2 linked regions of the Coturnix japonica genome follow. The protein of the gene in region 1 interacts with the protein of each later gene in a pairwise test. Links are inferred from orthologs where the notes say so. Each region holds a gene or a part of one and is shown on either strand. Other genes may lie near its edges.

Evidence for each region.
Region 2: the proteins of POGZ (region 1) and NFYA interact in binary tests that used the Homo sapiens proteins (3 or more experiments, as listed by UniProt). The two-hybrid records come from large-scale screens. The link is inferred for Coturnix japonica from reciprocal best matches to the Homo sapiens genes POGZ and NFYA.

The regions. Positions count from the first base shown.
Region 1 is NC_029540.1:2,352,698-2,360,232, forward strand, and holds part of POGZ (pogo transposable element with ZNF domain), read left to right. Parts: intron 1-3,291; 5' UTR 3,292-3,292; coding exon 3,293-3,416; intron 3,417-7,535. UniProt on the Homo sapiens protein: Plays a role in mitotic cell cycle progression and is involved in kinetochore assembly and mitotic sister chromatid cohesion.
Region 2 is NC_029541.1:4,505,363-4,512,897, reverse strand, and holds the end of NFYA (nuclear transcription factor Y subunit alpha), read right to left. Parts: intron 7,192-7,535; coding exon 7,045-7,191; intron 5,954-7,044; coding exon 5,822-5,953; intron 5,213-5,821; coding exon 5,107-5,212; intron 4,621-5,106; coding exon 4,454-4,620; intron 3,800-4,453; coding exon 3,626-3,799; intron 3,269-3,625; coding exon 3,167-3,268; intron 2,992-3,166; coding exon 2,938-2,991; 3' UTR 829-2,937; downstream 1-828. UniProt on the Homo sapiens protein: Component of the sequence-specific heterotrimeric transcription factor (NF-Y) which specifically recognizes a 5'-CCAAT-3' box motif found in the promoters of its target genes.

The sequences.
Region 1 (7,535 bases):
TTTTCTTGGTTCGGCTGATAGAACAGATGAAATATCTGCACATAATGCAAGTTGGTGTCAGAAGATTCATGTAACTACAGCCTCTTTAGCATTTTGTCTTTGCATCTTCTGAATAATTATGAGCTGCTGAATAATATATTTCTCCCAATCTGCGCAAAGCCTTCCTAACCTTCCTGAGGAGACATTTGTGCTTTCTTTAATTAATAGATGGGGTTATTTATCCTATTTACAGCTGCCCATCGCTGTGTCCGTGCAGTGGCTCCGAGGAGCGGCTCCTGTTGTCAGCGTTGCCTTTTGCAGGAGGAGCAGCTTTGTCCGAGGAGATCCCCGCGATGCTTTTTATTCTGGAGGTTTCTGCAGAGCAGGAATACAGAAAACCATAAATATGTATTGTGGGTCGGTCAGCGCTGGAGATCGGTGCGTCCATCTCCTAGGAGATGCTGCCAGGGTTTGATAAGATGTTGTAATTAAACAGAAGTTAACAGGCAGAGGGGAGATGTGGATCCTTTGGTTTTTGCCTCCCCTGTAGCAGATTTGTGCCTAAACCCCCCCATTTCAGAGCTGTATTTCTGGAGTCTGTTCCCATCTTGTTTGTCAGCCAGAAATAATTTGTGTCTCTTTTGTGTTGTTTTTCTTTTGTCTTCAACAGAGTGAAATCTGTGTTTGGTGCAGTGAACGGGGGCTGAGCATGGGGAGTTTCATTTCACTTCTTATAGACCCTTTCATGGATCAATTTCTGCTTCCTACCCTTAAAATGCCATTAATGCTATTTTTTTTTTTGCCTTCCTAACAGCAAAACTGCTGTGGGTCAGTGAAGGTGCTGGTGGTGTCTTTGGGGCACGCAGGTGCTGTGGGGAAGGAGAGCCTTTGTAAGCTCCGTGCTGTGCACGTGGTTAATTGCTCATTGGGATTATTACCCAATAATCGTGTTGTGATTTTTTTGTAATAGAAGGAACCTGATTTGATGAGAGACCAGAACGTTTTCATCTGTTGGCTGTTCTTTTTGGCTGATGGATCATGGGAATTTTAGGGACATGGAATGCCCGATGTGGAACATTCTGCTCTCGCAGTGTTATCAGCAGTGATTTGGGTACAGCCTTTTTGGGGGTGATGTGGCCTCTGTGCTGTGTTGGGGGTGTTTTGTGTGTTCACAAGAATTGAGTGCTGTCAGTTCTGAGTTGTTTCCCCCTGCAGAGCCTGATGGCAACAAGTGGAGTGTACTTGCTGTTTAGTTGAAGTGCAGAGCTATCTGCTAACAGGGGTGTAACTCAGGAATTACACACTACCATAGAAAAACAGATCCTGCGGTGTTCCTGGGAAGACATTGCTCTGACTTGATGCTGTGTGCATGTTTTTTTGCACATCCATCTGTTCTTAAGGATCCAGAGCTGGAGCTCCGTGGTCCCTGGGCTGTGCTGGAAGCCTTTCTTGAGGCTAATGTGGAATTTTGCCCTCCAGTTTTAGCCCTTGTTTCTTGTTTCCATCCCAGATGTGGAGCTCAGATTTCTCCCTTCTCGCAGTTGCTTGTTGTGTGTTTGAGGAGGACTTAACGAGGTTTTGTGTAAATGAACCAAGTCTGGGACCTTTCTCTCAAAGGCAGAATGGTGTCTGATGTGGGAGTACGTATGAAGCAAAGGGGTGGGATTGAATTCTTCCACGTAGGCAAAAATGACCCTCCTGACATTCATCCACACTGTCGAGACCAACCAGTGGATGTATGGCAGTGAAAGGAGGGTGATGAGTTACACACCATGAAATGAAGAGCATCTCCATCAGCTTGTCCACCCAAATCAGAGGATTATGGCCAGGGAACTGCACAGAGCTGAATATTGGCTTTGGTGCATTGGAAACAATGGTGGCAATGTTGGAATATCACAGTTTGTGCCACCTGGGGCCATGAATGCAGAATGGAGCTTGTCAAGACCCACTGAACCAATAGAAGGCTGAAGGTTTCCTGGATCACGTTGTTACTGGTAATGAATTGTGGTGTTGCAAAGTGAGCTGGGAGTCAAAGCAGAATCCATGGAGTGGTGATGTGTTAATTCCCCACTGAAGAAAACGTTCAGCCCTCAGCAGGTGAAGTGATGTGTGCTGCATTTTGGGGCAGGAAAGGGCTGATTCTTCTGGATCTCCTGGAGTCCGGACAGACCAGCAGCTCTGACTGCATTGTAGCACTGACTGAAATGAAGGCTCCAACTCTCAGGTCAGCCCAGAGAAGAACCTTTCTTTTGCAGTGCCGGGCCCCAGACCGGTGTGAAGAGCAAACCAGCAGCCTTGGCTGGGCTGACCTACCACACCTATGTGGGAAAGGAGGAAATGCAGTCATTGCTGTTTTTTAGAATAATTCTTAGTTCCTTTAAAAATCCTTCTGGAATGAGTTTAGGATTCTTCAATGTATTATTAAGGAGAATTCAATTTTTGCTTAAACACCACTGATGAGGGAGGTTGAGAAACAACCAAATCCTGAAGTGATGTGGAGTGAGGTCGGTAAGAAAGCTGCTCTGTGCTGCTCAGCATGATGGCTTGTGGGTTGTCCCAGTGGGATCAGAAATGGCCCTATTGATGGAATCTCAATAATATCACATACATCGGCTCTTTGGAGACCTTTGGTGGGAAGCCTCCACCTTCTGAGGAGAGCTGGTCGATAGGGCACTGGAGAGGATTGATAACTGTGGATCGTGGGTGTAATTCTGACTGGATGGTTGGGATGCCCAATGGAACCCTTAACTTCAAGTGCATTCAGGTCTATATTTCACTGATGTCTGGGTTGGCTGCACCCCCAGCAATAAACACCTGACTGCCTCTGTAGGCAGATCCAAAAAACCTGTTTGTGCCTGGTGGGGCTCAGAAATAACAATGAATTGGGAAGGTGTGGAGAGCATGGCAAGAAGTAGTGCTGAGAGTTAAGATGTGCCCACTCAGGGTTGGGTTGGAGCAGACTTAATCAGTTAAGACTGGATATTTGGTCTCTTTTGTATATTGGCAGTAATCTTAGAGTACTCAGAACCATCAAGAGAATAAACCCCTTGATTCTTGTTTCTGAGTTTCTCATTTGTTTTAATGTTCTGCAGTTTGGGATTCTGCTTTTGAAGCTGGTAAGTTGGTTTTGTCATGTAGGATGAGAGGCGAGAGCACTCCAATTTTAAGTTAAAACCAAAGGTTCGTTATGCAAACATGACTGATTTTCCTGAAGGTAATAATTCTGTTGTTACAGTTGTGCTTACAGTGGAGCTTTTGCTGCCTGACAAAATGCAGTTATCCCATAAAGGGCTTTCTTCTTTCTCTTTGCAGGATGGCGGATACGGACCTTTTTATGGAATGTGAGGAGGAGGAGCTGGAGCCATGGCAGAAGATCAGCGACGTGATTGAAGATTCTGTGGTTGAGGATTATAACTCGGTCGATAAAACTACTACGGGTAATTAACTATTTTAGTCCAGAATTATTCCAGCTCTGGGTATTAAGGGGGAAACGGCAGTGACTGGTTATGTCTATCCTGTAAGTAATCTCATTTGATAGCTACGAATCCTGTTTATAACGTAATAAATGCCCATTTTTGAGCTGCTGTTCCATCTCTGTGCAGAAACTTGGGGGAAATTCTTTGTGTCCTGTGGCCAAAGTAGTGCAGAATCAATCATTTGCATTAAAGAAGATCAGGGTGATGTTCCTCATTGTACAGAGTGCTTCAGGAGGTACCAGCACCCAGCAGTGACTGCTTCAGATCCTCCTAAGCAGTTCTGAAGTGGGTGAGGTTGACAAGTGTTCTGCAGTTAATTGTGTTTCCTCTGTCTTAACTTACATAGTCACAACAGTGAGATTGAAGCTTGATCATTATTTTTTCTTTAACCCGTTATTTGAGGTAATCAGTTGCATTCTTTTTCTTCTGCCTGTTTTCTGTAAATGGGAAGATGTGTGGCTTTGATGTTCAGAGTTGATGTTTAATGTGCAGGTCAGCCAACGTCGTTATCCGCTGGCTGTGTCAGACGCACAGAGCAGTAATTGGTGGGTTGGAGGCTTTGTTTTCCAGGAGGTAATAACTCTGTTCGTAAAGAAGCTCTGAGTAACGGTGTGAGAGCGGTGCTGTCATGCTGCTGTTGGTGCCAACACCGTGAGTTGGGCTATTGCACCTGTTTTGTACCAATTAAAACTCAGCAATTAACAATTCAGGAATTAAAGAAGCATGAATGTTATTAGAGAAGACATTGCCTACTGTCCCTTTGGTTCTTCCCAAACACTTCAGTCTCGTGCATGGTGAAAAGAATATTTACCTTAGTGATATGCATGGCTGAAGTTGACTGGCCCATGCAACAAGTTGGGCTTTTGATTAACCCTTTGAATTGCTTTTTCTTGCTCTTTTAGTTGAGGTCAAGCATCAGCTTAATATCTAGGAGAGAGATGGGACTGTCTTGTTGTAGGCCTGTGTCTTGTGGTCCTACAATGATCTACATCCATGGAAGCATTCCTGGTAGTTTGGCTGCTGACTTATTGTGTTTGTGGAAATATTTGGCACCTGGGGCATTGGAGAGCTGGCTGCTAATTGGAGTTAATAAATGGAGGTGAGCTTAGGGAGGGTTTGCTGACTGCTGTCACCTCCTTCTTCTGGTCTTCATACAAGGAAAGGTCTGTGAGGAGCTTGCTTTGACAAAGGGTGTTTGGAGCTGGTAGGGCAGGAGGATGTTTGTGTCTTCAGTTCAGAGAGAGCTTAAGCAATCTCAGTGCATAACTTAGTGCTGAGATCGAAAGTGTCTTTAAGTTCCTTTTGGATGAAGGAACTGTGTAAATCTGCTTGTCAGACTCACTTAAAAGTCACCACATCATTTTTTAGTAAGATTTGATCAGACACAAGTAATGAGGAACGCATTGGTTTCAAATAGTGCACAGAACCCCTCTTGGAAATGTCTTCAAAGTGTCTGGCACTGCAGATGCATGAGGTGTCACCACGTAATGCGCTGGTGATTAATATTTCACAGCTTTACTAATGGAAGTAAAGGGAGACAGGTGTTTAAATCAATTACAGTTAATAAAGACTTGGCGATATTTGCGCGCCAGTTAGATTATTGCTTAAAAAATAAGAAGGAAAATGTGCATGGTTACTAAGATACATCTTTAGTAGATTAGTTGTTTATCAGTGAAATAACTCTTAACAAGTTCAAGGATCTTATCAATGGAATCAGCTATCCATGGGATCTGCTATCCAAATGATTCCTGGATCCTATAAAACATGTGGAATTTGTAAGAAGGACCCAAGTGGTGGTGGTTCCATTTCCTTCCTCCATCCCTTGCTGCGCACTGACTGATGCTGCCCCTGTGGTTGTGTGATCTTTAAAGTCCTTTCTAACCCTACTACGCTGTAATTTATCTCTCCTCTCTGCACTGGAGGGGTGGAATCACAGGCTGTTTGTGTTCATGTTACTGATAATGGTGCTCTGGGTTGCAGTCAGTAACAGTTGTAGAAATAATACCTGTGGTCTTTAATCCGTTAATTAAAGACATGGGCAGGGGTGCAACTGGAAATGCCTGAAAACCTCAGAGGTGTGTGTTGGTCTGCTTGAGAAGAAAGGAGGGAGGGCAGTGAGCTTTGCAGCCCCGAGGCAGCGTTGCTTTCCAGATGCACTGAGCTCAGTGCTGCAGAGGTAGGTCAGCTCTGGTTCTGCATCATGGAGCCGTTAGTCTCAAGGGAGGTTGGTGTTGTGGGTCAGATCTGTGTTGTTGTTATCTGCTGCACACTGGGCAGAAGGAACGTGCTGCTGATAGGCCCTGTGAAAACACACAGGAACGCACAGCGCTTTGCCCTTGGTTTGGTGATAAGACGCTGAGATTCTGCAAGGTAAAGCTGGGAAACACACTTAGTTTTGAATCTCTGTGGAGCATTTCAGCTTTGTGGTGCAATTTTTTGCATTCCCTTTGATGGCATCCATGCAGCAAATCCTGTGTGTGGTGATGGGCTGATGGCTGGACTCGGTGATCTTGGAGGTGTTTTCCAGCCTTAATGATACTATGATTGGGTGGACTTGATGGGGATGAGTCGATGGTTGGTCTGATTCTAGAGTTCTTTTCCATCATTAGTGATGCTGTGAGTGTGGTGGGGGTGAGTTGATGGTTGGACTTAATGATCTTGGAGCAGCACAAGCACGACTCTTCAGTCTGCAACGTGGTTTTTTCTTTCTGGAGCTCTGTGTTCACTGAGCTGCTGCCATCTCCTGTCCTGCAGGGAATCCTTGTTGGCTTTCTACTAGTCAGAATTAGGGGTGGCAAAGTGCCATGGGGACATCTGTCCCGTCTGCAGCCCATGTTGGCCCAGTAACCGGGGTCACATCCTTATCTCATTTGTGACTGCAGAGTGTTCACACCGTGCGCTGGGTCTGAGCTGTCCCAGCTTTGGGCAATCTTTTTATGCTCATGGATGTCATCTTGCATTTTGTTTTACTTTAATTAAGAAGACTTACAAGCAAGGGCTGAAAAAGGCTCATTAAATCTACCCATTCTCTCTGTGCAAGGTTTTGTTGGGCTTTGTTTTGTTTTTCCCCTCTAGGATGTAAATCAGTGTGATCCAGCCTGGAGCCCTAACGTTTATTGTTTCCTTAAACAACAGCATCCTCCTTGGTAAATATCTAACTCCCAAACTGACCAACCATACGGTGATAAACATGCACCCAAATTTCTCCCACAGTTTGTTGTACTGCTTAACAATGGTTCAGGTTGGATATAAGGAAATATTTCTTCTCTCCAAAAGTGGTGATGCAATGGAACAGGGAGGTGGTGGAGTCACCACCCCTAGAGGTGTCCAAGAACCATGGAGGTTGTGGCAATTGGCAGCATGGTTAGTGGACATGGTTGGGATGGGTTGGGTTTGTAATTGGGTCTTTTCCAGCCTTAACAGTTCTGTAAGTGGGTGTGGTAAGGTTGGGATGACTGCTGGACTTAGTGATCCTCAAGGTCTTTCTCAACCTTAATGGTTCTGTATCAGACCACCAGCTCTTTTGTGGGCGATCAGAGCAGTGTGGGCTGGATGGGAGTGACCCCATGTCCAAAAGTCAAGAAAGATTTCCTCACTGGATGCAGAATGATCTCTTAGCAAATCTTTTTCCATCTTCCTGAATTTCATCTTCAGGTTTTTTCCCTGCAGATTAGTTTTTAAATGTCTCAAATTACTGGGACATAAAAAACAGTGAAAGCTAAATATATTTGAGGTGACGCTCGGCCTAATTTATTCTTTCTCTTAATTTCCACTGTGTGCTGTTAGCTGTACCTTTTCCCACCCAAACCAGTTCCTTATGTTCTGTATACATGTGCAGCTCGTTGGTGTGTCTACAGTGTCCCAGTATCCAGTAAAGCACATTTGTTGATGAGGAAATGAGATGGGAGCCCTGCTGCGTGTCCCCCTGACAGCGTGACTCCTTTTTAATAATCCCACCATCAGATAAAAATACAGCTTACATTCCTGCAATTCCTTTTGCAGGAATCATAAAGTGCTTTTGATCCTGGAAATAACAGAAATGATAGATGGAAACACTGAGCTTCCATGGGCTGCACGGCG
Region 2 (7,535 bases), on another chromosome or scaffold:
GCTTTGCAAACAATGAACGCATACAAGAACTGCTTCAGCAATGCAGCATCGTACAACTACTCAACACTGTACAGAAGAACTAACAGTGCAGGACCCCAGCCCTGATAAAGGTATTTCTGTTATCATTGCTGGAGTTACAGCACTGCTGAGAGATCCTGAGCAGCGTGTGTGGAAGGAGCAGCACGACTGAGAGGGATTAGCAGGCAGACATGGAAGCTGAGCATTTCTTAAACCTCTCAAAGCCTGCCCAATCCTCTTAAGAGGAAAACTTCCTTTTGTACCAAAATGCAAAAAAAATAAGCTCTAACAGTCTCCATTCTGTCATATTTGAGCAAATAGAGATAATGGCACCATACGAGGGAGGTTGGGGACAAGAATAAACCACCCTTCTGGAAGATAACCAGCAATACAAAGGAGTAAATGCTTTGGGAAGCACAGTAACGTGAAGGTAGTGTCCTGTTATGCTCACAGGACCATGAGCAGGTTCCAGCCCTGCACCATGGAGCTCCCTGTGCCCCAGGGCTGTTTCTACATCATTTGGCCCTTCTGGAAGCCTCCTCAGGGATAATGAATGACTCCATGCACACCGGAGCTGCCCTCAGGCAGGAGGTGCATTGTGCCAACAGGTGTCCAGGAAGGTTAAAGACACAGCAGATTTCTGCACAAATCATTACTGCCTTAAACCAAAACCTACCATGCTAATTTCTTTGCACACTCAAAGGACACACAGAATAACACTGACCCAGTGAGCGCAGCCTTCCTTCCTCCTGCAGCTCAGAGGCCATTGAGTCGGAGGAGCATTAAAAGCAGAGCCAACGCCGCTGCTTGGTTTATAAACTTTTATTAGCTGGATAGTGTACACAGTACTTACAATTGCATCTATTAAAGACCAAAATACACTTGAAAAAATGCATTATATAAAAAAAATTATAAACTTTTTAAACTATATACAAACTTTGCCTTACATGATGCAAGTACCTCCCCACCCCCCATCCCCTTACACACACACACATCCAGTCACAAAGATTCTTTCCCTCTCTCCTGTTTGTAACATGCAAAGCCTCGAAGTGCTCCAGCATCACTCAAGGACCGTCCTCACAACTGACCCGCTGCAGGTAAGGAACCCAACAGCTGCACTCCGGCCTCCACGTCCTTATCTGAAGTATTAACAGTAAAGCTTCCTAAGTAACACGAATCCATAGGCCTTAGTACACGTTCTACAACAACAGATCAGAGAACCTATATATGAAGGGCTCATTGGGGGAGAAAAAAAAAAAGAGTTCTAGTTGTGTTGGAGAAGTTTACGACTTCTTTAAGGAAACCAAGAATTACTAATTTAAGAGAAATAAACAAAAACTCATGTCAGAGCAACAATCTCTGCTTCCATAACTTCCAACTGCCTGAGGGGTGCTCTGGGACACAGATTAGCTGTCAGCTGAAGAGCAGAAACGTTATGGAGGCCGTCTCAGTTCAGCACAGAAATGTTCCTCCAGCACATGAAAATCCTATTGACAAAATGTACAGAGGCTAAAAAAGTATTTACAAATAGTGCGGCAAATTCAACTAAGGAAAAGACTTTGTTGTTCCTTCACTAAATGAGAGCGATGGGTTTCCTGAAATGGGTGACCTCACGAGATTCCAGGTGAGGACTTTACAGTTACTGACTGAAAAAGAAAGAAGCACCGCGCTCTGACTGGCCACGAATTTAAGGCAGAAGCAACCAAAGGCACCAAAATGCCATTAATGCCTTTAGAATAGCTAGAAAAAAACCTCGTGTAAAACTGGTGAGCAGAATGCTGGATTATTAACACAACATTTGCAAATGCGTCGCGTTGTTCAGGTATATAATCCTTCCAAAACATCAGTATGCACCAGGTTGAGCGGCCCTGTGCTTCCACCATCATTCAACAGCTCCTCTCTCTATGCAGAATGAGAACTGTAGAACTGATTTACAACACACATCAAGAAATACTACCAAAAAGGTGGCCAAGTGTTTTCACTCTGATACTGCAGATTGTATTTCTGTTGGAGAACCATGCATCAGACCGGTCAGGTTAAAATAAAGACCTTAAAAATAATCCTTTGGAAGAGACTCAATTGGAAGTTCCAATACTTTAATATTGGCATCCACTCTTCTTCCAAAGCATGACCTGCTGGCAATAAACATACCAAAAAACACCAATAAATCCTATTTACTAACTAAACCCTTCTATCAATAACCCTCTCCACTCTTACTTCCCGGAACAGACACACAACAAATCAAGTCCTATAATAATCTTGAACTGCTCTGATCACTTTGACTGGATGGCTGAACTCTTCCCAGAGAAAAGCTTGCTGTTTAATACATATTTTACAGAGTGGAGCTTAAGAGAAACCCCTTCAGTTTCTGTCAGTTTTGCAAGTGCAGATGCAACAGTAGAGAACAGTTCAGTAGACGGTAAATCCAAAGATGTAAGTAGTGGATGTAAGTAACAATCCTCTCCTGGGAAAACAAAGTACCGTGGTATAGCCACATCAGTGCTGGTTGCTATGAACTGGGTTATGTCGCTGTGCAGAAGGGTCATAACTCCATGAAGTCTTTGCTGGCCCTCCTTCAGCACACCAGTTATTGCTGGTCAGTCAGCAGTACACTCACCATGGCCAATCTTAATGCAAGAGATGTTATAAAGGAAAAAAAAATAAAGGCATGAGCTGTCAGACTGAAATCCCTGCGCTGAATTAGAAGAGTATACCAAGAAAGTCATTAAGTTTCTATGAGTCGAGTCAACTGCAGTTAAAATCTTTACCACACACTGAAAAAGTGGTGTTTGTTCTGTAGAAAAGGATAGGCTGCGATGTGGTGATTGTCCCATTGAAAGACTTGCTTGATACACTGGTAAGGTAGGACAGACTTGCAGAAGGGACAGGAATTCAGTTACATTTTTATGTCAGCAGTGATTAGGAGACTCTGATCATCTGTGTCATCGCTTCTTCATTGGCCTGAGATGGATCCTACAGATAAAAAATAAATGTCATGTTGTAATTCCCAACATTTTCCATAACATCAGAGAGTCACATACAACAGCCTAACTCAGAAGAACAGAGAACAGTAGAAATGCTCCTCTAAAATGTAACCTGAAGGACTCAAAGCGTGAGCTGCCCAAAGAACAGGCAAAATTCTCCTTACCTGCATATGGGGACTGTCTTTTTCCTTTGGTGAGAAGAAACGTCCACCCTCTCCTCGCTTCCTGGCCATGGCGTGACGATGCCGAGATTCATGCAAGTATTTCTGTCACAACATGGAGGAGAAGAGCAATGAGAGCAGCACATTCCTCCTCAGTTCAGTACTCACAGTAATTGAGAACACAGCAGAAAAACCCAATGCAGATTCTGTTTTTCTCCCCCACCCCTGAAATAAAATGCTTACAGTAAAGGCCTATTTGCAATACAGTGACATTAGATGAGCTATTAAACGTATGGAAAGAAAGCACTTACTGCCACCAAGGGACTCAGCGATTACTCAAACATAGTTTATGAACAAGAAAAACAAATGGAAAAAATACTAAGATTCCAGGCCTCATTTTTCTGGCTTTTCTGTGCCTTCCTCATACAACAGCCCTGCATTAGCTCTGTGTTATATTCTCACCCTTCTTTCTTTGGGAATCTTCCCCTCTGCTTCAAGCTTTGCTCGTGCCTGCCTCCTCTTCAGGATTCGATGATACTGCTTGGCGTTTACATAGAGGGGCTCTTCTTCAAGCATCTCTGCTCCAGGCAAAGGTATCCGCTGGATGGCTGGTACTGATCCAGCTCCAGGTACCATCTGCACAGAGAAGAATGGTTTCAGAACTTTCAGCTTAGAATGAAAAGGGGATGCAGGGATATACTTTGAGAAGTGTTTACGATGGAATGGGCTTGTTTTTTCTCCGGTTAACACAGCAGTTTAAACTGAAATGAGGAATAAAGTCAGTCTCAAACTGCAGGACAAACTTAAATAACCCAATGACGCACCATTTGTACTTCCTTCTCCTCCTGATAACGGTAAAATTTCAACACAATACACAATTCTATGACTACTTTACTGCCTCTTGTCTAATTTGCATGCAGGACACACTCATCACTTCCCCTTCTTTTAGGCTATGAATTATTTAATTTATATGATAATTTCAGAGCATTTCTTAAGCAGTTATTTCTCATAGAGCTGCTGACATCTAGCGGGGATGAACAATAAAGTTCAAGTTGAAAGGCATCAAAGTGCAGAGATGGAAGAATGGGTGGAAAAAATCCTAAAAATCAGAAAAACAACTACTAAGGAATCCTCAAGAAATGCAACAGTCGATTCCATCTTTCCAAATGTCTGCTTTATCAGCTAACAGCTCATTTTGAAACATCCAGTTGGCAAGGATCTCAGACAACACCTTACACACTGACACCATATAGCTGTACCTTCAAGTTGAATGGAGAGTTAAATACATACCATAACCATTCCACCTGAATTGACAACATTCCCAGCAACTGGCAGTGTCACTGTGACAGTCCCTTGTCCGCTGCTGGTGGTGTTGGTGTTGGCTCCTGCTTGGACAATCTGTGCTCCAGCCAAACTGGCTGCTGGAATGGTGATCATGCCTGTAACAGGGACTGTAACTTTAAGAAAATAAAACACAAAAGGAAAGAAAACAAAACAAACGAAAACACGCACACAGAAAGAAGGGAACACCATTAGTCCCGCTTCTGTTTTCCACTCATTCACCCTTCTGTAAGATCTAGAAATGCATTACAAGGCATCAACCAAACCGTACTTGGTATTTTTTGTATCTGCACTGTAATCCCAGCCTCAGGTAAGACAGCAGGTATTTGGAATCGCAGAAGCGAATGAGCATCCCCATTCTAACAGCTCTTGCCAAAAAAACAAAGGATTGTTCAGTTTTCTGTGGAAAGATCTACCTGCCGAACTCCTGTCCAACAATACAAACCTCTCTTCTTCCATTCGCTGTGCCAGCACATCACAACAGTCACAGCACTGCCAACCACCACTGCAACTCACTGTGTGCACTGACAGCCTCTATGAGGCAATGAAAACCTACCAAGTGGACTTTGTGAGGTCGTGACTTTTTGCACCAGAGCTCATACCTTGTTGGAGAATGGTTCCGTCAGCGTTAACGGGCTGATAGACTATGGTCTGCCCTTCAGCCGTTTGCGCTACTTGTTGTCCTTGAACTGCTATTTGTTGCTGAGTCTAAACAAAACAGAACACAGGAACTTCAAACATTGCTTCCTTCTCAAATCCCACAGTTCCTCAATTAATACACAGTGCTTATGGCGCTTCAGGCACGTTATTTCTTTTGCTTTATTACTAGCATAAAGAAATAGAATGGAGTACAAACCAACTGAGCTGAAGGTAAAGTACCTGAAGCACATACTATAAACTTTTCCTAATACTGTTGTATTTAACATTCAGAGAAATAAGTTCCCTGTTTCCTGTCCCATTATCAGAACATTAAATTCTGGTCCTAACCAAAAGAAACAGCAGAAAACCCAGGTGTGACTGGACTACTGCACAAAATGGCGCAAGTATGACATTAGCAATACTTATGTTTGGAAATTGCAACAAAGAGACAAAAACAGCCATGAACCAATATACAGAAACACGATGGATAAGAACATGCAGTCTATTCATTCTGTCCCAGGGTTACGTATGAAACACTACAAAGATATTAATTTTATTCTCAAGTTCTCCTCCACATTAATATTTTTTTTCCCTTTTTACTTAACCACATTGAAAGTCATTTGCCAAGTTTCTCTTCCTGTTCCTCTCAAGAAAACCCTTCCATGCTGGTGCAGTTACCTGTGTCTGGCCAGCAGTAACTGCAGTCTGTGGCTGCTGTATAATGATCTGCTGGGTCTGGCCCTGCTGCCCCTGTACCTGTACAGCCTGCCCACCTTGAATCTGAATCTGACCTGGCTGGACCAACTGAATCTGTGGAAGAAAGAGTCAGAAAGGAACATTAACTATGCCTCTTATTTCTCCCTCCTTGGCCTCAGCATTACCAGATCATCTGAGGATGATTTATAGCTGCAAAGAAAACAACAACAAAAAAGCACTGATACTTCTCTTTTTTTCTATTTTAAAATGAAGAGTTTTAAGTTGCTCTTCCCTGTGACACTGCAGTCACTGATAGAACAGCAGAACATACAGAATAGAGGAAACTCAACACGTAACATGCCAGTGCCATCACGTTCCAGCAGCTCTCAGCTGCTCACACAGTGAAACAGTCAGAAGAAATAAATTCACACAAAACTAGAATTACTGCTCAGGTCAAAGAAACCAGGAGTGAGATTTAAGGTATCTGCAGAGCGTTTATTTTTTTTGTGATAAAATAAACTGGGATACGGTCTGCAGCTCCTGCTTTAGAGCCCAGCTACAGACCTTCCTCAACAACCACATCAAGAACCTAACACAGAAAATATTGTCTTTCAGCCAAAGAGTTTGAATTCAGTAACTAAATAAACCTCTCAGGACACCACCACCACCACGTGCCTTCCTGCACCGTGCAGAATGTCACTCCCAAATCCCATTCTCTGATCACTACAACACTTCCAACATGCTGCTGTTAGCAGTTCTTCTCTTAGATTTGAGGAATGCGCTTTGAGCACCTGCTGACATTCATAAACTGGCTTTGAAATAATCAGAAGCAATTGCTTCCAATCAAACCATCATGAATCCTTCCACAATTTACTTCATTTACAACGGAAATGTTTAAATCCACCATCTGCCATCACATGGAAGATGAACTCAAGCACAAGAATTATTCTCAAGTTTTCTTTTTTCAAAGAATTCAAGTGTATTCTAGCGGACTTGGAAGGCTTCCACCATCCCTTAAAATACAAAAGCCCAATACAAAGCGTATTTCAGATCCACTCTTAATGGAGTTCACTGTGGCAGGTCCACAACCATCGCTGCCCAGGCCATTCTAACAGCGCTGAGGCAAACACACTCTAATTGACAAGGCAAGAACGCAGCAGTTCATTATCTGCAATTTATCTCTAATGAAATCAGGGTTATCTCACCTGCTGCAGTCCTTGAGTTCCAGAAACGGGGACTTGCATGATAGTCTGGCCCTGGCCCCCAGGCACAGCCTGCACCATGATGGGCTGGCCAGTCGATGTGATCAGCTGTCCTCCGCTCACCTGCACCATTAACGGCTGCCCCTGGACCTGGGGAACAGGAGAGAACAGAAACACAACAATGAAAAAGTCTGGTGGGACGAAGCAGGGAACTGGAAATGACACACAGCTCACGGCTCACCTGTCCTAACCTGCCACAGTCACTGTGCTGGGCTCATCAGCATCAAATACCTTTAGTTTCTACAACTCTCTCCATCCTGCACTGCTGGATTTTGTACATTATCTCTTCCTGCCGCACTCTAACCAATAAAGCATAAAAGCTGGACAAGTCTTCCAGACACAATAACTATGTTCGTGCACAGCCCAAGAGCAAAGTGTAATAAAAGAAACTTCATTAACTACATCACTGCTAATCTTTCACTGAGGCTCCTAAT